2 linked regions of the Drosophila melanogaster genome follow. The protein of the gene in region 1 purifies or fractionates together with the protein of each later gene. This does not show direct contact. Each region holds a gene or a part of one and is shown on either strand. Other genes may lie near its edges.

The links.
Region 2: the proteins of CG10576 (region 1) and CG30339 purify together in Drosophila melanogaster (affinity purification with mass spectrometry, with the first as the bait; one large-scale study listed by BioGRID). This does not show direct contact.

The regions. Positions count from the first base shown.
Region 1 is NT_037436.4:5,753,946-5,767,548, forward strand, and holds CG10576 (uncharacterized protein), read right to left. Parts: upstream 11,758-13,603; 5' UTR 11,484-11,757; coding exon 11,396-11,483; intron 11,240-11,395; coding exon 11,142-11,239; intron 11,102-11,141; exon of another isoform or gene 10,916-11,101; intron 10,851-10,915; coding exon 10,714-10,850; intron 10,652-10,713; coding exon 10,489-10,651; intron 10,450-10,488; exon of another isoform or gene 10,313-10,449; intron 10,305-10,312; exon of another isoform or gene 10,168-10,304; intron 10,140-10,167; exon of another isoform or gene 10,001-10,139; intron 9,832-10,000; coding exon 9,610-9,831; intron 9,478-9,609; exon of another isoform or gene 9,400-9,477; intron 9,329-9,399; coding exon 9,103-9,328; intron 9,056-9,102; exon of another isoform or gene 8,915-9,055; intron 8,771-8,914; coding exon 8,643-8,770; intron 8,580-8,642; coding exon 8,466-8,579; 3' UTR 8,018-8,465; downstream 1-8,017. Other genes in the region: Usp47 (ubiquitin specific protease 47), read left to right, coding at 2,300-2,488, 2,552-4,203, 4,262-4,649, 4,709-5,626, 5,684-6,664, 6,730-6,856, 6,915-6,985, 7,040-7,173 and 1 more; Txl (Thioredoxin-like), read left to right, coding at 12,065-12,430, 12,488-12,771, 12,831-13,044; Ppat-Dpck (bifunctional phosphopantetheine adenylyltransferase - Dephospho-CoA kinase), read right to left, coding at 13,191-13,603.
Region 2 is NT_033778.4:9,596,348-9,607,511, forward strand, and holds CG30339 (uncharacterized protein), read right to left. Parts: upstream 6,555-11,164; 5' UTR 6,514-6,554; coding exon 6,215-6,513; intron 6,153-6,214; coding exon 5,780-6,152; intron 5,394-5,779; coding exon 5,139-5,393; 3' UTR 5,084-5,138; downstream 1-5,083. Other genes in the region: clos (closca), read right to left, coding at 1-601, 655-720, 778-944, 998-1,172, 1,225-2,078, 3,163-3,328; CG30338 (uncharacterized protein), read left to right, coding at 2,237-3,103; CG30340 (uncharacterized protein), read right to left, coding at 3,562-4,095, 4,155-4,784, 4,838-4,864; CG1902 (uncharacterized protein), read left to right, coding at 7,535-7,833, 7,898-8,264, 8,323-8,595; GstT1 (glutathione S transferase T1), read left to right, coding at 9,740-9,857, 9,933-10,035, 10,100-10,416, 10,478-10,626; GstT2 (glutathione S transferase T2), read left to right, coding at 11,020-11,137.

The sequences.
Region 1 (13,603 bases):
TGTTGCAATCCGTGTATCTGTATTCATGTTCTTATCGCACCCCGAAGTTATAGAAGCTATATAAAAGTATTGTTTTCCTATTGAAGTGTAAGCCAGATAAGTAAACTGTTTCTCATTGTTATAGTACATCACGCCGAGAACTTAACACGTAGCTCGCTTCGCCAAAGATCGGGCGCCAGATCGGGTGGTGTATCTTCGGATCGCAATCGGAATCGGCATCGGCATCCTAAGCGGCCAGTACACGCGTGAACTATGCCGTGCGTTGACGGTGCGGTCTTCTAGTTCGGAAAGATTTCGGCACACTCAGTTCCGACACAGACGGTAAAACTCACCAAAATCCGTTGCATATATAGACCACGGATATATACACACTTATTCACACAACATTGGAAGCTCCAATTAAAGTTGTGCGACGCCTAAGAATAGAAAGCATTTCGTAATGGAGATTTTCTGTTCGAGAATGCATTATATGATCGGGAATCGAGAATCCTACAATTTCCGGCACTCAGCAGTCATATCTCAGACATCTCATGGTTTTTGTAGATCACATAGATTTCGCAGTACCGAAATAGTTCAAAAATAGCACAAATATATGCGAGCATGACTGTTGCCCCTCCCGCCGTCCCCCCATTGGATCGTGTATATGGCATAGATAACTCGCGATATCGGTTTCTGTAATACCCGACCAACACAAACATTGACCAAAAGATCATCGTCATCATGTAAATATTGAGTGGGATGGATGGGGCCAATGTGTTGAAAGTGCCTGACCATTCTGATGTATAGGATAGACGTATTCGAACAGTCTGTGCGCTTCTCTGAATTTCTCAAAAACCTTCGCATTCACAAATAGCCAGATATACGCGTATTCAAGACGCTCCCAAAGCTGTCTTATATCTTGCTCCTCCACTCGCCTGTGTGCTTTTTCCGACCGCTCCGATGTGTCGTTGTGTCGCCGCCGCCAGTTTTTATTTTTAGCAGCATGGGTTTCTTATTTTGATTTTGTGCTGGCCGACGTGTATTAGCATTTTTGGATCCCCATCTCACTCGCTCCCTTGCCGGGCAATGCGGTTTGTGTTTGGACCATCCAACATGTGTTTGAACGCCCAATTGCAGCGCATTCACATCGCACATCGTGGATGTGCATCCTCCATTCGGAGGAGACCCAAAATATCTTGGCTGACTGGCTGTCTTTTTTGTGGTTATTTCGGTGCAGAGAATTGGAAAAACATTGCAAATACCCCGGCCCCAATTGCTTGCGACACTCAATTAAATGCTGAGCAGTACGAATCACTAAAGATTATTGCCAAAATAGACATTCGAAAAGTATAATTTTAGATACAATTAATTGACAGGCGAATCGATGATATTTTTGACTGCATATTATAGAGTAGTTCAATCGCTTTTCGCCTAATATTCAGCATCTGCTTTCCTTAAATCTTTCGAATTCTACAAATGTTTCTAGAATAATTCGCAGTGTTCACGCTGATGTCCGATAAGTATTAATTTGTACATATGGATATGTCCACCGTCCACTTGCAATATGCGCACTGCCGAATTGAAGGCGCCAGATATTCGTTCGTATAATAGCCACCACTTCCGTTACAGAGTCTTGCGGGGAGCCACAAAGGAAGCCAGCTGAAACATGGAGCGACATTTGCACTGAAATTTATGCATTCGGTACGCCCGATGGTGATAGCTATGGTCATGATGATGATGATGACGTTGGTAGTCCATTGGAGGCAAATAATAATTCCCGTAGCATCCTCCGGAGGCAACTCTGATGGCCGGTTGTTTACGAAATTCCCCTGCGCGTTAGTCACGACGTCGATTTCGGGGGGCAGTCGATGCTCGATTGGGTGTACGTGCTATATGTGTATATCTATCTATATATATATATATATATGTATACGGCAACTGGTGCTGGCCCGTACAAATAAGGCGCGAAAAGCAAACCCGGAGCACGTCAATATCTGCGGCTGCGGGAGGTGGGACGGAATCTTCTTGGTTTCTGCCGCTTTATTCGCGAATGGGGTCGAAAACAAGAAGATTTCGCAGTAATTTGGGGCTGGGCATCTCTTCCTTATTTACTATGGGCCAAGAAGCATCGTCATGTCCAGGAACTTGGCCCCGCCGAAAACGTCAAAGGTGTCGTGTCACCTTTTTAATTCTAAAATAAAGAAATAAAAAAAAATAAAAAGAAAACTCCAGACAAAATTCATAAGTAAAGCCAACGTTTCGCCTACAATCTTTTTGCAGGGTTTTCTCCACCATCACTTGATTATTCCGCGGGCTGGACATGACGGACAAGGAGAGCGAGCAGTGCACCGTCTCGGTCTTTGACCAGACACCCGGCTCGGAGCAAAAGAAGATCAACGTAGTGGTCCGCTCCCACTTCACGGTGAAACGCGTGATTGACCTTATTGGCACGCAGTTCTCGTACGAAAAGTTCGAGCTGTTGCTGCAGCCACACGATAACAAGGATCTGGTAAAAATATCTGCACATCTTGAGGTTCTAATAAACCGCTAATTGAATTCCCCTTTACTTTAGGTCAATCTGAATGCCCTGGAATCTCAGCTGATGTACGAAGTGGCTGGTTTTGAGCCCCAGCTGAAGAATCACTTGATCCTGCTGCCCTCCGGCAGTTGGGATGGTGACGTGACCAAACGCTTTGAGTTACCCATTAAAAGAGTGGTAGTCAAAAAGGTTATGAAGTCGGACGGCGAGAAGGCCAAGAGTCCTGCCACCGGCGAGAAGAAGAAACGCGTAGTTGGTGAGAAAACGAAAAAGAAGCCAGCTTCGGGATCTTCCTCTCCAAGCAAGGCCAAGACGACGAGTGAGGACTCTTTGGCTAAGACCAGCATCAGTTCGGAATCAAGTCCCGAAAAGACTTCCAAGATCAAGACGACTGCAGCAAAGATCTCCAAGCCCGGTTCGGAAAAAGCTCCCAGGGCTAGCCCTGAAGAATGTCCCGAGCTGTCTACAGAGATAAACTCTAAAAACACTTCTTCGGAGAGTCCTGTGGCCAAGAAAACGGCCAAGGTCACTTCTAAGCCGACTTTAGAGTTGCTGAGTCCAATCAAGCCGTCATCACCCATCAAAGAGTTGGACTGCGAACCAGTAGACACCCTGAGCAAGCAACAGCTCTCTGAGCAACTGCAGCTGTATCCACAAGGTAGAAACCTAATCTCACCGGTGGACGATGCTCCTTCAGATCTTTTCATCTCAGATGCTGAACAATTGTCGGATGACGACCTGGCACTCGGAGCATCTGCTAGTCCGACAATGCTGGGACCTGGATACGATTACGGAGCTCCGACCGGTGACTCGGACGTCGAGGGTGTGACCGGAGTGACAGACCCATCCACAATTGGAACAGACGATGGTACGTACCCGGCTCTGTCAAACTTCTATCGTCGCAAGTATGGAGGCGATGAGTTGCGAGCATGGCAGAGAGTCAACACAACGGGTGCGGACTTCGTGTCCTCGGCCACCACAGAAACTGAGGCAGAGGCAAGGCAGGCGAGCTTGGGTCCCAGGGGATATGTTGGTTTGGTCAACCAAGCCATGACCTGCTATCTAAACAGCTTGCTGCAGGCACTCTTTATGACACCCGAGTTCAGAAATGCTCTGTACCGCTGGGAGTTCGACAATGACAACGAGGCCAAGAACATACCATACCAACTGCAAAAGCTCTTCCTCAACTTGCAGACCTCGCCCAAAGCGGCGGTAGAAACCACAGACCTGACTCGCAGCTTTGGGTGGGACTCGACGGAGGCATGGCAGCAGCACGATATCCAGGAACTGTGCCGAGTTATGTTCGACGCTCTGGAGCACAAATTCAAGAACACTAAGCAGGCAAATCTCATCTCTAATCTGTACGAGGGCAAGATGAATGATTATGTCAAGTGTTTGGAGTGCAATACCGAGAAGACGCGCGAGGACACCTTTCTAGATATCCCGCTCCCTGTGAGGCCCTTTGGAAGCAGCTCCGCATACGGCAGCATCGAGGAAGCTCTGCGTGCCTTCGTTCAGCCCGAAACACTCGATGGCAATAACCAGTATCTGTGCGAGAAGTGCAAGAAAAAATGCGACGCCCACAAGGGACTGCACTTTAAGTCCTTTCCCTACATCCTCACGCTGCACCTTAAACGCTTTGACTTTGACTACCAGACCATGCACCGCATCAAATTAAACGACAGGTTAGTCTCTTTGCCATAATCCATAAGCATTTAATTCCATGCTCGCCCTCTATTTCAGAGTGACCTTCCCTCAGACGCTCAACCTGAACACGTTCATTAACCGAAGTGGAAACAGCGGTGAGCAAAACTCTCAGCTCAACGGCACCGTGGACGATTGCAGCACGGCGGATAGTGGATCCGCCATGGAGGACGATAATTTGAGCAGCGGCGTGGTGACCACAGCGAGCTCTAGTCAGCACGAAAACGATCTGAACGACGAGGATGAAGGCATCGACATGAGCAGCAGCACCAGCAAGAGCGCCAAGCAAGGATCCGGTCCGTATCTCTACGAACTGTTCGCCATCATGATTCATTCAGGCAGCGCTTCGGGCGGACACTACTATGCTTATATTAAGGACTTCGACAACAACGAGTGGTTCTGTTTTAACGATCAGAACGTGACTAGTGTAGGTTTTCGCAACACATTCATAACTTGAGAAAATATTGAACGACTATCTATCCATAGATCACCCAAGAGGACATCCAACGTTCGTTTGGCGGACCCAACGGGAGCTACTACTCCAGTGCCTACACCTCCAGCACCAATGCATACATGTTGATGTACCGGCAGGTGGATGCCAAAAGAAACGAGCTAGTCGCCAAGGTGGCCGACTTTCCTGAGCACATCAAAACGCTGCTACCAAAGCTGCACTCGGAGGAGGAGACGCGCGTGTCCCGCCTGGGCAGGCATATCACGGTTACGGACTTGGCTCTTCCGGATTTGTACAAGCCGCGCGTCTACTTCTATAATCCCTCCCTGAAGAAGATGAAGATTACCAGAGTGTACGTATCGCAGAGTTTCAACATCAACTTGGTCCTCATGTCGGCCTATGAGATGTTGAATGTGGAACAATTCGCGCCGCTTTCCCGCTGTCGTTTGGTGGCTTACAACTCCTCGATGGACACGATTATTCAGTCCCTGGAGAGTTGCACAGACCCAGCTTTGACCGAACTGCGCGCGGCGCAGAACTACAGTCTCGACTTCCTGCTGGAGTACCGGGCCGAGGACCAAGAGTTTGAGGTCTATCCGCCGAACGGCATTACTTGGTATGTGTTTAAGGTAGATCTATCGACCATGGCGATGGACGGTCCCTTCCTGGTTTACTCAGCAGCGCGGGAGCGGGAAGCCAGCGACGTCCTTCGCCGCTCGATCGCCCTCCGTTTGCACATTAGCGAGCAGCAGTTCCTACTCGCCACGGTGCGCGCCACGGTGCCGAAGGCTTTCGTGTCCTACGATCCGCATCCGACGCCGGAGGCCCTGCAACATCTCCAGAACATGGCCAACACCCAGTTTAAGTCCATAACATACTTCTACTTGAACGTACCCAACACGGATGCCGCGACCCTTGAGATGCTCGGTGTGCCCACCGTTGAGTCAGTCGAGGTAGGTTATACAGCTGTTGGGTTTATAACTAAGGTTAATTTTTGGCTGTCCTTTCAGTGCGCCAGCGGGGGTGATGTTGTGGATGCTGCAATGATGAATGGCGTGGCACCTGGTCACATGTCATCCAGCAACGACTACGATTGGAGGCGCTACAAGCGAGATCTAGTGGAACCCATGTCACAACCCAGTCCCAGCCACGGCCACGAGTCCAACTCGGAGGACAGTAGTCTGAGCGACGGAGACCGAACTCTGGTGGAGACGGACAACATGGCACATCGCGGTGGAGGCGACAGCCAAGTCAGTTCCACCAGTCACTCGCCGCAGCTGTCTAGTCCGGAGGACGAAGCAGCCTCACACGATGCCATGATGCGCGTTCATGCCTACTGCAATGGAAACGGCAGTTATGCGGCGGCCGATGTGGTGGATCCGCTGCTCCTGCCCACCAGCACCAACCACTTCTTCTACGCCACAAAGGTCGAGTGCGTGGATGTGGTTGGCACCGGTTCCAGTTCTGGTCACCAGTCCGACGAAGAGGCTCAGCTGCGTAAGCCCACGCGTGCCTATAAGCTGCTGGTGGGCACACACATGCGAATGGGGGCCTTTAAGAAACACATCGAGCAGCTGATCCAAGTGCCCGCCGCCCACTTTAAACTGCAGCGGAAACACGATAATAATCTGTCGAACAACCAGAACAACTCGTTGGTACATCTCATAGAAGGCGAAACACTGACGGTGGAGTTGGGTAAGACGCTGGAGCCGGACGAGTTCAAGGCCAAGATTCACTTCCTGCGACTGGCGGACATTGATAACGAGACGTCCAAACTGCCTTGCGTATGCGAGTGGGTCTACAATGCCAACACCACGGCGGAGCAGGCCAAGAAGGAACTGGTGGCCAAGCTGCATCGCATAGACGCCAAGTACGCCACACTGTCTGTGCAAAACTGTCGCATCTGGCTGAAGGGCGGACGTATTCCCATCAAAATTCTGTCCGACGATGAAACGCTCTACTGCGACATGCGCTCCAGCATCGCAGCGGAGGTGGGTTCCCCTGTCTCTGTGATGAGAAAAAAACTTAACTTGGATTTTATATCACACCATTTCAGTTCATTGTGCAAGAGTGCGAGGAGGAAGTGGACCCGCAGCCCAAGGACGATTCTCTGACTTTATTTGTAAGACGGTGGTGTCCGGCTAAACTGGAGTTTGGAAAGTTCCAAGAAATCACTTTGGACCGTAAGTTAAATCTGTATATTGCCCTGTAAGCAGTAAATCGAACTCGTATCTTCTGCAGAGGACAGCGAAATCAGACTTTCATTATCACAGATCAGCGACATCCCAATAGACAAACTGAGCTATATGAAGGTTCGTAAAATTGCGTTCTACTGTGTATATTGATCTAATTGGTCTTCTCTGCAGTTGAACAGCAACTTCCCCTGCACAAGCATATCAGCGTTAAGTGTTAACGAGTCCAGCAGTTGGTACTCCGTGCCCACCACCCTGGACAAATATCCGCTTAATAGCACACAGACAGGAAACATCTACCTGTACAAGTAAGCGTGGAGCAAGTGGCAGTTCAGTTCCTAGACTAACCAATGAATTCAACAGAGATAGGACGGTACCTGCGCGAGAGCTGACGCTGGAGGAGCGACGCCTGATGAACGCCAGGGAGAAGGCACGACTGGATCGGGTGGGCTGCGTGTCCACCACGCGGTATGCGCAGCGCCGGGAACGTGCCTTGAAGATTTACCTGGACTCTCCGGAGAAGTCGAGCAACGTGACCGCCTCCGCACCGATGGACGTGCATGTCAATAATTAGTCTGGCGAGTAGAAAACAGTCGCGGCGATCATAACAAAAAAAAAAAAAGTACACCAAACCATGTATGTAAGCGACGGCAGACCATTAAATCCCAGATCCTCTTTTGATCACCGGCCACATATCTTTGTCGTCTGCAAGTGCTGCTCGTGTTTTCTATACTTCATCCGCAGCAATTGCGTTTTTTGTTGTTCTTTATTTTGTTTGACGCAAGGGAAGAGGTCAGCGAGTTGGGCAAAGTCGCCGTATACGGCATCGAATTGGTCTGGTCTTGTTGGGATTGGATCTGGGATGGACAACTGGGGTGGCCAAGTGAGCACAGCACTAAGTGACGTTTAACATAACGAAGTTATTCTTGCAACTTTCGTAATACAAGAGTTCAAAGATGAGACTGTAAAATTTAAAATAACAAAAGGCAAGAAATCTAAATTACAAATTGTATAATGTGAATGTGAACATCAAAACTAAATTAAACGTATAAAATAAACACAACTCGCAAGTGCATTTATTAGAATGAGAAGCGTATCGAAATCGAATTAAAATTGGGCGCCAGCGGAAAGTAAATAAATGAAAAATCGTTTGGCATTTATCGGCTGTTTTATAGAAAATGTTAATTTTATTTAATACCTACTACGCAGCGTTAATAACGTTTCACTTGAATTATATTTTAAGATCATTTAGCGTTAAAATTGTTACAATTTGATGACAGTTCTTGCTTTGCTTTTTCGTTGCGATGATGTTGAACAGACCGATAAACGAAGGCAGCTTATAGTAAAGGAAATAAAGAGGTAAAGTTGGCGCGGGACCGACCGACCGCCCGCCTTGTTGATGGATGGAGGATTTCTGGGGAAATGTATCCTCAAATTGTTGCCGTCTTCTCTTCTGTCCTGTTCTGTTGTCAAAAGGGTCCTCTAATACGCAACGAATTCGATAGTAAAAATCTGTGGAGCGCAGCGTTGGGCAGCGCAATTGTTCACATTGTGTTTCCGTTGATGGCTTGGCGGTGCGGATCATCATCAGCGGGCTGGTCTATGCCTTGGTCTCCACGGCCGGCGCCGTTTCCACCTTTGTCGCCGCCCCAGCTGTTGCCTTCTTGCCCTTACCCTTGCCCTTCACAGGACCCAAAGGCTGCGCGAGCAGAGTCTGCAAAAAGTTGAGATTTCATTGAGTACGCATCGTGAATACAAGGAAATTGTTGCAGCTTACCTTGAGCTCCTCCTGCGCAACACTGTACTCGCTCACATAGTTCTCCGCCTCGAATGGGATGCCGGTGACCAAGTTGACGCCGTTAGGCATGAGCAGAACCGTGTGCTTAAACTGCGCCACAATCTCGGCTGTAATGCAAGATAAGGAAAAGGATTGTTTAACTTTGCTATTACTTCCGGCTAAAATTCGAACTTTATAAAGGTTGCTCAAACTAGTTTAGTCTCTAAATTAACTTTAATAAGTATAAGAAAACAGGTTAATAGATTGGATACGATTGTGACAGTGCCATGTTCAGACAGAGGCCACACTGAGGCAACTGCTGAAGACGACAATGCCTGGAATTTGTTCTGGCAAAATGTCTGGCCGCACTTAGCACCCGAAGGTGTACCAGGTCCGGAATTAAGTTCTGCCAACTCGCATAATAGGGAATAGGATTAATAATAATATGCATCACACTTACATGGCTTCTCGTACAGCACTTGGAAGGGCTCAATCATCTTGTGGCCGACGCACTCAACAACTCCCATGCGGGCCTTGGTCTCCTCCTCGAAGCTGCGGATGTTGAATGGCATGTTTCCGTACTTGGTTTTCACCTCTGCCAGCAGAGCACGGGACGCCTTCATCTTGAGCATGTAGTTCTCCTCAGACTTCTTGTAAATTGAGACCTTGGTGTCCTTTTCGCGTCCCTGCAACGAATACGAATAATGTTAGCAATAATGCTCTGGCTGCGATGATCCAGGATCCAGCTTAAATTTGGCGTTCTCAGATCTCATAATCTTGCAATCTTCGGACAACAGCCAGCCGGAACTTGGTGTCTGCACGTGCCGCATTTTAGTATAAAAAAACGCCGAGCAAACAAGTCACTCTCGCAACAAACACCGCATTCCAGCAAAGTCAGCCTCAAGCGCGTGTTTTTAATCATCGAACAAATTAGTGGAGATGTAGTGTCTATTGATGGATTACTAACCACTCCTTCGCCGGTACTGACGATAACATCGATGGCATACACCTCGTACGTTTCGAAGGTGCACTTCTCATGCTCCTTGCGCTGCGCCTCGCTGGGGTTCTGTATGATCGTCTTCTCGCCGTCAATTTTGAACTGCTTCAGCTCGTGACTGAGCATGCCCTCAATGGGCTTGCACTTATACGACTCGCTGATTTGTTGCACTGCATCGGTGAGGGAGTAGTTCTGTAAGGATACAGAATTGAAACATAAATATTAAGTATGAAATAAAATGGAAATAGTTCAAAGCAGAGATAAAGAAAACATTCCAATTCCCTTTGACTAATCTTAATCAAATATCATAGTATACTATAGATAACGCAAAATAACAATAACTGATCGGCATTATCATTGCGATTGTGGACAACTTTAAAGACCGAACATTTCAAGTATCTAAACTTGTTCAGTTCACGAAATCGACACTGTTGATCTCTGCAGACGTTGAGCTGTGCTGAGCCACGAGTTAAGGCAGCAGACAATCCGTTGCCTGCAGATTACAATTCCGACATATCTATAAACTGGAGATGTGGACAAATTTAAAGACCGAACACTTCTATGGAATGAACTTGTTCAGTTCACGAAATTGACACAGTTTCTATCCGCAGGTGTTGAGCTGATCTGTGTCAGAGTTTGAGCGCAGTCAATCCGTTGCCTGCAGAAGAAATAACCTTGTGGACAACTGACAAGAAGCCTCCAGTCCTGAATAATAGGCCAGGGCAATTACCAGCTGCCACAGCTGATCTTTGCAAGTGTTGAGATGTTCAGTCGCTGGAGAATCGCGGCAGACAATCCGTTTCTTGCAGGGATTAACGGAGGATTACCTAGAAGTAAGGGAGGACTCACATTGGCGCCGGACTTGAGCAGACGTAAGGCAGCCTGGACAGCCCAGTAGGCGGCGAGGATGACATCGGCCTGGCGACCACTGATCTTCTGATCCGCAGCAGCGCCTACCACAATTGTGTGAGCGGCCACGGCAATGAAACCATCAATGTGGGCACCCAGATCGCTGTAGAAAAGAAATGTTACGTATTTAGTGGCGGTATATGTGGAATAGGAGGTTCAACTTACATTTTGACCACATCACCGGCCTTTAACGTGTAGTCAGCATCGTTTTTGGCTGGCGAGAAGTGGCAGACACAGTTGTTGACGGACAGACAGGTGGGAAAGGCAATGCCCTTCTTCAGGTCTTTCTCCTTTTTGTATACCTGTTTGTGAAAGATCGATAAAAGCATTAGATTGCTTGTTCGTTGTACTATATATCAATGATAGTGCGCGGTGTGTCCTCAGATCTCATAATCTGTAAATCCTCGGGACCTTTTGGAGAGCACACAAGCCGGGCACGTGGAGCATTGGAGTCCCCGCGTGCGCCTGGCGACCACGAGGTGATCCCCAGCCCGCACAGCACATGGCTCGCCATCGGGAAACCCTCAAAGGTGTAAGTCTTAATCATTGGACATGAAATTGGCGCGAATGACCGCCAGGTGGCCACCACTTACTTTGCCGGTCTCCTCGGTGAGCTGATTGTCGCCCTGGGTGCAGATCTCCCGGACGGAGGCATCAACCACGCAGAGTCCAATTACCGCCTTGAGGGTTTCTAAAATTAAACGAGCAGACAGAGTCCAGAAATAGGCAGATTAACCAACGCGTGGCGCACAAGGGAAAGCGGCATTCGGTGCATTGTGTAAGCGCCACGTAGCAGCGACTCCAGGAATCGGCCAGCGTTCGCTGTTTCCGGCCAAGGAATACTCACTGTTGACGATTTCGCCGGCCAACTTATACTTGGTCACCACCAAATCCTCGGCGATGGTCTTCTCGGGCTCCTTTTCCACATCTGCCATTGTACTTGACTCTAATAATTTTAAAATGGCGACTTAATGAAAATGCGACCGACTGAAACACCACGAGGTAATGAACGTGTGGCCAGGCGCAGCGCAGGTATCGAAAGTTCCAGTGGCGTGTATGGTGGGACCGCTCATTCGCCTTGACAACCCTGGCAAATGGGCGGTAAGCTTAAGATGAGCGTGAAAGCGTAGATTGCTAGTCGTAAACACTGAATGAATTTTAAATAACACTTTGAGCTATATCAAATGAGAATATTTCATAGTTTTACATATTGTAATCCACTAATATTTCAATAAAAGTTTAAATATTAAGTTTCGGTTTTTTTCTATTACACATAAATGGTCCCTCTAAAAATAGGAAGTCAAAGAGCTCGAAATATCGATACCATCACAGTGTGACCGCTTGTGGAATACCGCATTCGGTATTTTTCTTAGCACGAATTTGGACTAAATGCATATTACAAGTCATCTTTAACAAAAAAAATTTGCATTGAACGTTAATAATAACATTTACTTGCTTAAATCCAATTCGGCTGCCGAAACAAAAGCTCAATTAATAGAAACCTAATCCTATCACCATGTCCGTGCGCGTGATCAACGACGAGTCCCACTTCCAGGCGGAGTTGGCCCAAGCGGGCATTCAATTGGTTGTGGTGGACTTCACAGCTTCGTGGTGTGGTCCCTGCAAGCGGATTGCGCCCATCTTCGAGACGTTTCCAACAAAGTACCCAAAGGCCATCTTCCTGAAAGTGGATGTGGACAAGTGCCAGGACACGGCTGCTGGACAGGGCGTTTCGGCCATGCCAACATTCATCTTCTACAGGAACAGGACCAAGATCGATCGCGTCCAGGGTGCGGACGTCAATGGGCTCGAGGCCAAGATCCAGGAGCACATCGGTACATCCGGTGGCGAGGAGGGGGGCGAGGATTACGGGCAGGGATTGGTAATATAGTGCAGTATTTGGAAATGTTCCAAAAATAATCCCTAATCCTTCTTACAGATGGAACTGAATACATTTATTTCGAAGCAGGAGTGCGAGTGCCTCAACGAAGCTGATGACCACAACTTAAAGCACGCCCTGGCCTCCGCCGGTGGCTACCTGCAGTCCGATTGCGATGAGCAGCTCATCCTGTCCATCACCTTTAATCAGGCTGTGAAGATCCACTCTTTGAAGTTCAAGGCACCTTCGCACCTGGGTCCCAAGGATGTGAAGCTGTTCATTAACCAGCCCCGCACGATTGACTTTGACATGGCCGAGTCCATGAACAGTGTGCAGGATCTAAGGTAGCTATTGCCTTCTCTATGGCTGCTTAGCTCTTCTCACTGTTCAATCCATTTTGCAGCCTGGCTCAGAAGGAGCTGGAGAGTGGAGTGCCCGTGAATCTGCGCTACGTCAAGTTCCAGAATGTGCAAAACATCCAAATCTTCGTGAAGAACAATCAGTCAGGTGGCGATGTGACGCAGATTGATTATATCGGCTTCATCGGTTCCCCCATCATGACCACCAAGATGAACGACTTCAAGCGAGTGGCTGGCAAGAAGGGCGAGAGCCACTAAGGTTCCATTGAAATTTTCAGCGTTTTTCCCCAATGACGTCCCAGCATTTCTTTTCAACTTTGGACTTACAACTAAACAATATACAACAAATGCATAAAAAATCATACAAAATAAGGATCAACAAGATAATCTAAATATCCATCGGGTTAAAGGCTGCTCTGGTAAGAGTCCAGTTCCTTGGTAAGCATTTTCCACGCACGCTCCGCCTGTTTCTGGGTGAATTCGTGATCCCATTGCGAACTGAATATCACATGCGACTTGGCCACGATCTCAGAATTGGGCACCTGACTGGCCAGTCGCTTTTGGGCCTCCACTTCGCTCAACTTGTTGCGCTCAATAATCCGCCGCACAGCCTCATCCGGTGGCACAATCATGGACCACACCTCATGGCAATTGGTCTCCCAGCCCGCTCGCAGCAGCACCGCTGCCTCCAGGACCACCACACGCGGCACGTCCGCCTGGGAACGCAGTGCATCCAGCCGCCTGTTAACCTCCGCAATAAGTTCCGGCCAGACAATGCCGTTGAGTGCTTGCAACTGCTTGGGATCGGCAAACACCA
Region 2 (11,164 bases), on another chromosome or scaffold:
TGATGAGCAGCCGATTCACCTGAATTGGTTGGGAAAACTGAACATCTTGTTGGACAATAAAGTCTCCACCATCCACTGGGATTAGCAGACCCAACGGTCTATCGTTAACCTCGTTGTTGTTGACTTGGGCAGCGTCGGATTCCAGATGATCGAAGTCAGCAGCTGCCTTTATAAACTGCACATCTTTGTTGCTGCGTTTTAAAGTCAGATCAAACAGGTCTGCCCACTTGAGCCCATTTAGTCGCCCATCAAGCTGCAGATCCTTTACTATTAGCTCATCCAGCAGAAGTTTTCTTTCTTTTCCGGCGGGTTCGGTGTATTTTGCGCTAACATAAACCTTATTGGCAGTGACGGAATCATAAACAGGGTTCCTCGTATCAACTCCATTGATATGGTCTGCTTTAACTGCGCCGTGCACCACCAGCGTGTCCACCGTGACCTCATCGAAATTGGGTTCTTCATTTGGTTGATCAACGGATCTCTTATTGGGATGTCTGGAACCTGCGAGGGTTGTTTTTTGTTCGATTTTATCCAAGGCCTGCTTGGTTAGCTTCAAAGCCTTCCAGTAATTAGGTGTGAGTTTCATGTGCTTATCCTCGAACTGAAAATATGAGGTTTTTATCAAAATATTTTGACTTTCCTGCTACTTCTTACCGATTTGGCGTTCACTTGCTTGATAATCGACACTTTCAGTTTCTCCTCACGGTGCTTTAACTTGTCCTACATATTACATATGAATTCTTTACTTACTTGAATCTTTTAGAACACAAAACTTACTTTCAATCTTATTAATAGATGATCTAAATTCATTTGCTCCAATCGCTTTCTTTGCTCCCGAGCCCAGTCAATGATTTGCTGGCGAAGTATGTTGGCATGCTCATCTTGTTTGTAGAGTGGCTGAAAGATGTTTGTCTCGTTGGCAGCCATATTCTCATTCGCAATCACTGGATATAGGCAAATTTCAGCATACGATGTATAAAAACCCAAAGATACTTACCCAAATAGCTTTGATCTCCCTCCTCATAGCTTCGCATACGTGCCACACCACGACTTAAAGCTCCCTCGGTGAACTGCACCTTGGATTCCTCGAATCGCCAGTCGTTAAGGTTATAGATCTTGACATCCTGTTTATTACAAGCAACCAGGAGTAGAAACTTCTCCGATATTGAGTGCTAAAGGATTCCACATTTTATGAATGCCATGAAAAGTTTGATCCGAAATTACCTGAACTGGCAAAACCCTTTCCAAGGCATAGAAACTCAATCGCTGATACGGCACAAACTGCCCCTTTTCGAAGACATAGATCACGGTGTCCGCATCGCCCACCTCGGCGCCAGTTCCGCCAATTGTGTTGCCCAGGATGAGAAAGTGCCTGCGGCTGACCTCGTTTACTGGGAGACTGAAGTACTTTACGTCCACGGCTCCATTGCTGCGCAGTCGCTGGAAGAGTTGGAATCTCTGGGACTTGGCATCCCATCGAAAGATCTCTGAGTGGGTGGCAGTTCGTCCCTCCGCATCTGCGTAGTTGGCTACGGCCACATAGTCGGTGTAGTCAATGCCGAAGGCCTCCATTCTTCGAGCTTTGCTGCAGTGAATCGCGCCCAGTCTCTGGAAACTCTTGCCCATCCACTTGAAGTAGGGACACTGCGCATTCGATTCGAAGGCATGCAGTAGAGTAAGTTCCTGGCTGCTGATCCGAAGGTACATTCCACGCAGATGTGTTCCCGAAAAGTATTGCACTGTCCGTATCCCCGTTTCCGGGGAAATCTCATAGATGGGTGATCCTTCACGGGCCTGGCTTACGGGCTCTGTTAGATTGTAGCTCACTGCTACGTAGCCACGCCCAGCGAAGGCCAGGCAATCCAGAGCCACTGCCTTAGGTGTTTCCAACTCCACGAGGAGCTGGTAGTCCTGCTCAGCTGGACGCCAGGTATAGACGGCAAAGTGACGCACTCCTGCGGCATTTTTATGCAAGGCCGTAGCGTACTTGACCGTGGGCAGTTGGAGGATGCAAATGTCAAGGGGAAAAGACACCGGCACGGAGGCCACTCGTTCTAGTCCATCGAAACTAAAGCTAGCTGGAAGAGGCATAAAGTGTTTTAGACAATAAGTTGCACAAACACTAATCACAAAAGATTCCTCTTCAGCTTTTTGTACTTTCATCTTTAGGATAGAGCCGTAGGTAATCCGTCGCCGCTGACTAAACCAAACAATTCTTTCTAACTCTTCGTTAGCCATGGCCGATGAGGAGCTGCAAACCTACCGTCGCTGCGTTGGCCTGCAGCTGGAGGAGCTGGAGCTGCTGAGCTCCATATACTGCGCGCCCGGAGAGCTGCATATGCTCGATGCCGGCGTAGTGGCTGATTTCAATGAGTTTCTCAAGGATGATAAGACAAAACCCGCTACTAGCCTTCTATCCCATTTGGAGTATGTGGTCAAATTGACTCTACCAGGCAAACAGTGCGTGGAAGTGCGAGTGGAACTGCCGCACCTATATCCGCTTTTGGAGCAGGCACGCGTCAGTGTACACACTACGCTACTGGGAAAATCCAAGGAGCAGCGCTTAAAGAATGATTTGGAGCAGTATCATGGTGAAAGGCGGGAGGAGGACGCCGAGCCGTACATCTTCCAGCTGCTGAGCTGGCTGCAGGACCGCATCGAGGATCTGTTAAAACGACCAGCTTCCGAGTTTGAAGTGCAGCAGGTAGCATCATCAGACCCGCAACAGCCACCAGCTACGGAACTTCAGAGAATTTGGATTTATTCGCATCACATCAAATCCAGTGCCAAGCGGCAGGAGCTGATTCGGCAGGCCCGACAGTTGGAGCTCACAGGATTCAGTAGACCCGGTAAACCGGGCATCATATGCGTGGAAGGTGATTCGGCAAATGTACAGGAATTCTGGCGCACCATCAAGGCCCTGCGCTGGCAGAAGATCAGCGTGGTGCGGACGGAGCCTCGGCAGCGCAAGCGGGGATTCGAGGACTTCAGCGAACAGCTTTTTAATGCCGAAGAAGGCGTCATGAACATGGGCCAGTTCATTCGATTCCTCGAAGCCCACGGATTTGGCTACATGAAGTCGGAATTGTTTGGTTTAGCCTGAGCACTGGATTTCCCATCAAAATTTAACATGTTAATAAAGTTTGTTATATCATTTCAAACCTTGGTCGAAAAACTGAGGCACAGCAGTCGCCCGTTTGTGGAGCATCGATTCCTGATCTGAGTTCAGGAAGTGTGTGGGATAGGATTCCCGGAAGTTTACTTCAAAACTGATCACGCGGGCGATCACAGCCGCAAAGATCAACAAATTGCAACAGATTTGATACATATATTTATTTTGTGTAAACTATACAAAACGAAACATTCAAACTGTAACACGTGCACTGGTTGCAAAATAACTTTTACTACCGGCCATGATATTTTACGGTTCTTAAAGCTTTATTTAGTATGATTGTCATATGTTTGGTACCCTATATCATAGTGGGTGTATTAGAGCAGAGAGAAGTTCGTATTTTGGTACATTGGCTTTTAAATGTATTATTTGTTTCTCTTAAATTTCTTTTATATAAATCCGTCTGCCTCGATTTCTGATACAAATTCATTTTCAACTATCTTCGTTGACTTGGCCGATTGTTGTGCCGACGACATATCCTTGCTTATGTCTTTTTCTAAATTTCCTGCCTTTTGTGCTGCCTCTGAGGTTCGTTTTCCATTCTTCATAAAGGCACAGTAGCAGCAGTGGTCTGGTGATCGAGAAAACTTCTTCATTTGGGTGGCGTCTCGCCATCGGCGAACCCAAGAAATTTGGTAGTAGGCCCTTCTAAAGTTCTCATTGTTGAAGCCATAGATCAGCGGATTGACGGCGGCGTTCAGAAACATCAAATACTGTGATATGTACCAGAATAGCTGCATTCCACTGCTGACAGAGACATCTTCACCGAAGTATTTTTCCCGTAGTACAACCAGGATTGTAAAGGGCAGTCGTAGAGCTGCAAAGACAACGACCACAATGAACAGTGTCTTGGCCACGCTGCGTTTATAGCTCACTGTCAGCGGGTTCTCGCGACTTAGGACCCGCTTTTCATACCGATCAAGCTGTTTTTGAGTTGGCTTATTAGTTAAAAATCCAGGATGAGCACACTTTCTTTGCTTACCTTATAAAATATGGCTATGTAGCAGATAAGCATGATGCCTAATGGCAGCCACACCAGAATGGTGATCAGAACATACCAGTACTTGGGCAGCACAGAGGTGTTCTCCTTGCAATATCGCTCCGTAAAGTTCTTCCACACTCGCACCCTGTAAGAGCGATAGAAAGCCAATGGTGATGCCAATAGGATACCCGAGACCCAGGTGCAGACCACCACTATCTGGACGCCCCTTATGGTGAGGCGCGTCTCCATTGGCAGCACGATGGCCGTGAGACGATCGTAGCTGACTACCGAGAGATTGAGCACGGCTGTGATGAGGAAGACCACCACCAAAAAGCCCTCCAGCTTGCAGCCCACGCATCCCAACTGGTAGTTCTGATAGAAGTCGTTCACCATGAACATGGCAGGACAAATGGCCAGGGTCAGTAGATCCGCAACGGCCATATTTGCAATAATCAAGTTGGTGGGCGAGCGCAAAGAACGGTTGGTGGCTATCACATAAACCATGCTGAAGTTTCCATACAGACCAAAAGCAATCAGTGGTAGAAAAGTGCAGATCTTCCAGGTGATCTCCCCATTGGGCTTGTGCAGCCAGATGCGCTCGGCTGGGAAGTCCCATTTGCCGAAGTCAAACTAAATGAAAAAGGTATAACTACGGTGAAATGAAAATCTTACTCATTACTAACATCGTCGCTGCTGGAAACCGAAGCCATTCCGTTGGATTCCTGCTTCGACGCCTTTTGCAGAGGAACTGCCTAAGCGTTCGTCAAATTAACATGACCAACACTTGATCCCACTTCATTTAGTTAGTTAGGTGATTGACAATGCTATTAACAAGTGTCACAGATAGTGCTCGCTAAAAGCTAATGGCTCTGCGATTTGGCCATCTGTCGCGTCGCTCTCGGCGATTCTCATGAGAAGTCTAGTTAGTTGTTTTGAGGATTGTTTTTGCCTTTTATTGAATACTAATTAAAACACGTTCCGACTTTAATCGATGTCGAGTTTTCGGAAGGATCCCTCAGCGCCAAAAATTGAATCCGCATTAACACGCTTTCCAGGCCGCAGCTGCTCATCCACTCCGTACTGGGAATCCTCAGCAAAATAGCTCTCATAGGACAGCAATTTCTTCTCCGCTTCCGCCTGAATGTCGGCTATACGTCCATTGTTGCCACCATATTCTTCCGGCAGGTATTCGCGTGGTATCACCTCGTTTAATTGCTCGAGATTTTTATACACGTGAAACTGAAAAAGTAGAGAGCCATGTGTGTGATGAGTCAGGGAAATAGATTATTCTCCTATTCGCTGATATATCTACTTGCACCTTCCCCCCGTATCTTAAAACTCGGCCCAGTGTTTCAATGATAAGAGCCCATGTGCGTGGTCAACTGACCTTAGGCAATGCTGCTCCACACACAGTATTTCACAGTATGCGGACCCAGCTCGAAAGTTAGTGGCTCTGATTTGTGAAATATTAATTAATAGTTCAGGGGTGAGAGAGTGCCACAGCTCTTCAACGCCTATCAGCTGCCTGCTAGACCAGCTGATAATCTCGTTGAAGTGTCCGATAAGGGAACGAAAATAAATTAGCTAGAGTGGCTACGACTATTCAATTATTCTTGCCTACTCACCCGCTGCTGGAGCTTGCTGGGCATTAGGCTCTTGGCCAAATTCAGTAACGCCACTCCCTCCTTGGGGCAATTGATCAGATGGACTCCTTTCAAGCGAGTGGGCTGTGCCTTCTCAGCGAATATTCCCATCCTTTTGATGAGCGTGAAATCCAGTTGGGCCAGAAAACTGAGGCTCATTTTGGCCATGTCAACGATCTCGACGTAGCCGCTAATGTTGCTGTGGTCATCCTCACGGATTGACTGTTCCGTTATCATGGTTTGGTAGCGGAAGAGATCCAATAACTTGAATTCCTTAGGGTCGAATTTCTCATAGTTCGTAAGCTGCAGGCGGGGGCCATCGGTTCCCCAAGGTTTGGGCAATCGAACATAGGTTCTAAATAGAAATTTAAGTTTCTTAAGTTTTTAAATATCCTTGATGAGCGCCTTTTAACTCACCCAGATCTGCACAAGATTAGGTTCCTTTCGTCCACCAATCTTTTGCCGAAGAGCTCAGGCATAAGCGTCTTAATAGTATAAAAGTGATCCAGCTTGGACTTGGTCTTCTCCAGGCTAAACTTGCAGCCTCGCAAGAAGCCAACTAGGAACTGGTCATCCTGGCGGGCCCTCAGATGAGGTTGCTTGGCCAACCAATCCCGAAGAGCTTTCAGATCCGCGGGCACTCGCTCCTCCACTTCGTTTAGCTCCGTTTCAGCAATGCGACGAAGTTCGGCGCTCAGGGGACGCAGATTGGCCATTTTTGGGAAGTCGCTTGCTTCGTGGCGGCTGGACGGCTACTAAACGCTCTTCCTAATCGCACGGCGGCCAAAATCCCCGGGCCGAAACGGAACCGTTAAAAGCTAATCTGAGCTGCCTTTATGGCCACTCATTCAGTTGATAGCGGACACGACCATTTCCACCACTCTCTTTTGCTCCGACGGCCCATCAAATCCAACCCGATCTTTTGGGTGTAGGCGGTCGAAGTCTCTCCTCGGAGGAGATAAGATTACGGCTCCACTGCATCTATGGCGTGTAAGCGTGCAGCTGGCGAAGAAGCAGTTGACTCTGTGGATAGAAATACGCCACAATTCAAACGGTTGTGAGTATGCAGATCGTATCTTATCACCGGATCGGAAAAGCACAGTTGGCAGGAATTACCCAATTATGGGGTTTAAAAGTTAATGACATATCAAGTGGGTGTATTTTTTTTTAAAGATATAAGTTGATTGAACAATTTATTATTTATCGGGGGTGTAAAAAATCGATTATCATCTTTAAATCGCAATGAAATCGCAATTTTAAGGCTGGATTGCTTAAGAAGTATACTAAAAATATCCAAATATATATCATCCTATATAAATAAAATTTTTTAAACTTTATACTAGCATTACAAAATTGAGATTACCAATACGAAACCAGTAAGGTGCAAATGTATTTTCCAGTGCACTTATCATATTCACATAACATTGCTATTTGTGTTTGCTCTATCGGCCACTGATATCACATAATCTGGTGCTCAAATGGTTTGTCATTGTGAGTTTGCTCCGTGCCGTAGTGTTTTTCGCGTTCTTCTGCACCAGTGTGCCCGCTATCGAATCCGGGAGGGTTCCCGAACCGATCAGAATCGGTAACCCAGTCCAAGCAGGCGGGCGCAAACTTTTCTGTTAGTCGTGTTCGCACCTGGCGAGAGAACACACACACCTTAGCACACTCCAAGCCTTCGGTATCGTATCTCAAAATTAAGACAAGTATCGATCGATTTGCAGATTCCCTGTGACCATGGCCAAGATACGATCGCTGGAGCCGGAGCTGGCAGAGGTGGCTCGAACGCAGCTCTGCGAGGATCCGTCCTCGACGGTTGCGAAGATCGAGGCGCTAAGGACCTGGATCGACAAACAGATCTACCTGGAGGCGCGGACCGACGATCAGTTCTTGGTGGCCTTTCTGCGCTTCTGCCGCTGGGACGTAGAGGAGGCCAAGAAGAGGGTACTCTTCTACTACACCTACAAATCAAAGGAAAGAGAACTGCTCAAGGGTCGCCAGGTGGACGATAAGCTGATAGAACTGGCTCGTTCAGGGTAAGGCGGGGACCCCCCTCATTTTCTGGAGGTGGGTGTTATAGAAAAACTTGTTCTTTTGCAGAATATTCGCCACATTGCCCAAACCTATTGGCCCTGGTGGCCCCCGCATCCACTACACACGAATGGGTCACATTGAACCTTCCAAGCACAGTGTCAGCGACATTTTCCGCTTCCACGCTTTTCGCGCTGAGATCGAGATCAACACGGACGACAACTGGAACATAGCCGGCGTGGTGGAGATCATCGACTTCACCAAGATACCCTACTCTCTGCTACTGCAGTTCGATCCTGGCATGTTCAAGCGGATGAATGCATTCCTAGAGCATGGAATTCCAGCGAATTTAGTGGCCACGCACATTGTCAATGCATCCAGGGAGACGCAGTTTGTCCTTGGACTGGTTCGGAATGTCATGAAGCAAAAGGAGCTGGTGAGTTCAAAGGGAAAATCGATGCAGAACCACTAACTCTTTGCTACCCTTCCTACAGTTGCACATTCACTCCACCGTCGCGTCTCTGCGAAAGGCAATTGGATTGGAGTATTTACCCGTGGAAATGGGCGGCGATAATGGATCTTTGTCTGATGCAATGACGCGCTACGAGACCCAGCTGCTAAGCTTTTCCCCGTACTTCACGGAAGACGAGCGATATGGCGTGGATGAGAAATTGCGGGAAGCCAGTGAGAAGGATCAGGAAAGGGGTGCTCCGTTAGTAACCGACGTTCCGAACGACGGAACCTTCCGAATGATTAACTTCGATTGAGTCAATGATCGGGCAGTTAGTTGTATATTCTGATGCACATCCTATAGAACACCCATTTAACACACAGCCCGATATATACACACTGGAATGTATAGACACTACAGCGCTAAAGCGATCTTTGGTCATAGCAGAACCTGATATTTTATAAATGAAACCATAAGGGAGGAACATCGAAACTAAAAGCAAATTGAACAATATTATAGACGACAAGTGCACACTAAAACGAAATAAGAAGCAAATGGATCGCCATCAAATGGCACAAAAACCTCACAAGTTTGTCGATTTTAATTTATTGCTGTCCTTATCCACGCACATACTTATACACATTCTAACGTCCGGTCGAACGATTCATTCTACCATGATCCCATAATGCATTTTCATGATGAAATCTTCAACGTCTTCTACTTGCGTGCTAAGTTGTTGTTGGCTTTGATTTTATCGCATACTTTTATAAATACGGTACATGAGCATACATATATATTTTGGATAATTTTTCAGTTGGTTAAGTGTCGTTTTTACTAATTTTTGATACTAGTTTACACATACATATACATGCATCTCTATATTTATGGATAATACATACATAGTTAAATGACTATATTTAAATGTGACAATGTACTGTAGACCCCATGTTGAGTGCGTTAATAAATTAAAGCGAATTTGTTTAAATGTCGGTATAACTAAAACATAAATGGTATTACTTGGGGTTGCCTTCTTCATAAATGGGGTAAGGGTAATGTGTTTATCTGGTCGAGATAAACGCTTTGTGGTTCTTGATGACTGGTTGACATATCGCTGTTTGAACTGAGATTCCGATAAGTGAAATCGATAAGCTTTCGGTTATGACAAAAGCAAGGCTACAGCATTTAATTTTATTGATCATTGGTATATTTTATCTGACTTCTTACCACCACCTGATTATTTTGAACTTATATATTTGCCCGCCCTTCTCGGATTCCCCATAGAATGGGATGGGATGGCAATATCATTTTGGGTACAGTGTTGAAAAGCGACCAGTTTGAACTTTGGACCGGAATAAAGCTTTTTGCTTTGAGCTTTTTGACATTTCATCAGCGACAACAAATATATTTTGTTTTCGTGTTTACCGGGCTTCCTGAAGCTAACTGATTAATTAATTGCCAAGATGTCGAAGGCTATTAAGTATTATTACGATTTCCTATCGCAGCCATCCCGCGCCCTCTGGATTGCTATGAAATTGGGCAAGACCCCATTTGAAGACTGCCCGGTTGCCCTGCGAAAACGTAAGAATAAATAACAAGTTACACATGTATATAAGGTATAAAGATCTTCTAACATTTGGGATGGTTATATTCCAGAGGAGCAATTGACCGACGAATATCGCAGTATAAATCGGTTCCAAAAGGTGCCGGCCATCGTGGATGGTAAATTTCAGTTGGGCGAGAGTGTCTCCATAGTGCGGTAAGTTCAAGTATCCAGAGCTCGGATTGCCAGGTTAATACTATAGATAAATGACACATTTCAGATATCTCGCGGACAAGGGAGTCTTCAGTGAACAGCTGTACCCCAAAACCTTGGAGGAACGCGCGCGGGTGGACGAGTTCCTCGAGTGGCAGCATTTCAATGTCCGCTTGGTCTGCTCCCTGTTCTTCCGTCAGGTGTGGCTTCTTCCGGCAAAGGGACTGGCGCCGGCTCCCAAGCCAGAGTCTGTCAAGAAGCTAATCAAGGATGTGGAGAGTAATTTGGGTCTACTGGAACGCCTCTGGCTGGAAAAGGACTTCTTAGTCGGCGACAAACTTACCGTGGCAGACATCTTCGGGTCTTCAGAAATTAATCAGATGAGTAAGACTGAGCCCACTGCTGTATCTAAAATAAATTCTAATAATAACGATTTGTAATTTAGAGCTCTGCCAGTACAACGTAAATGAGAAGCAATTCCCCAAGGTGGCCAAGTGGATGGAACGCGTTCGTGATGCTACCAATCCCTACTACGATGAGGCCCACAGCTTCGTCTACAAGACCTCTCAGCAGGCAGTCAAGGCCAAAAACTGATTTCTTTTCGATTTTGACTGATTTCTTTGTTCATTGCATTTATTAGGATTTTAAAACATTTTTGTGCCTTATCTGATGTTTATTGTGTTCAGTTCTGCGCTGCAAAACTCCTAAATGTTAAAATAATTAGAGACTATGAAAAGGGGTGATATCGGATCAATAATAGTTTCATATGTTCGCTTTATATAATATAACTATCTTTGAAGTTGGGAGCCACTTTTGAATTTGCCTCCTAAAGCGGGACAACTATAATAGCATAAAACCAGTGTTGCAAGGTGACACTCAAGATCTTTTGACTGGAGCTTTGCTCAATTTCTCATTTTCCAGCTGAAGATATTCGTTTTTGCCGGCTGTTTGGAAGTTGGGGCTGAGGAACGGGAGCAATTGACCACCATGTCCAAGCCAATTAGATTCTATTACGATTTGTTGTCCCCGATCGCCCGTGGTCTATGGATTGGTTTAAAATTCAGCAACTCACCCGTTGAGTATTGCCCGATTGCCCTGCGAAAATGTGAGTCAAAGTAATCATCTAAACTGC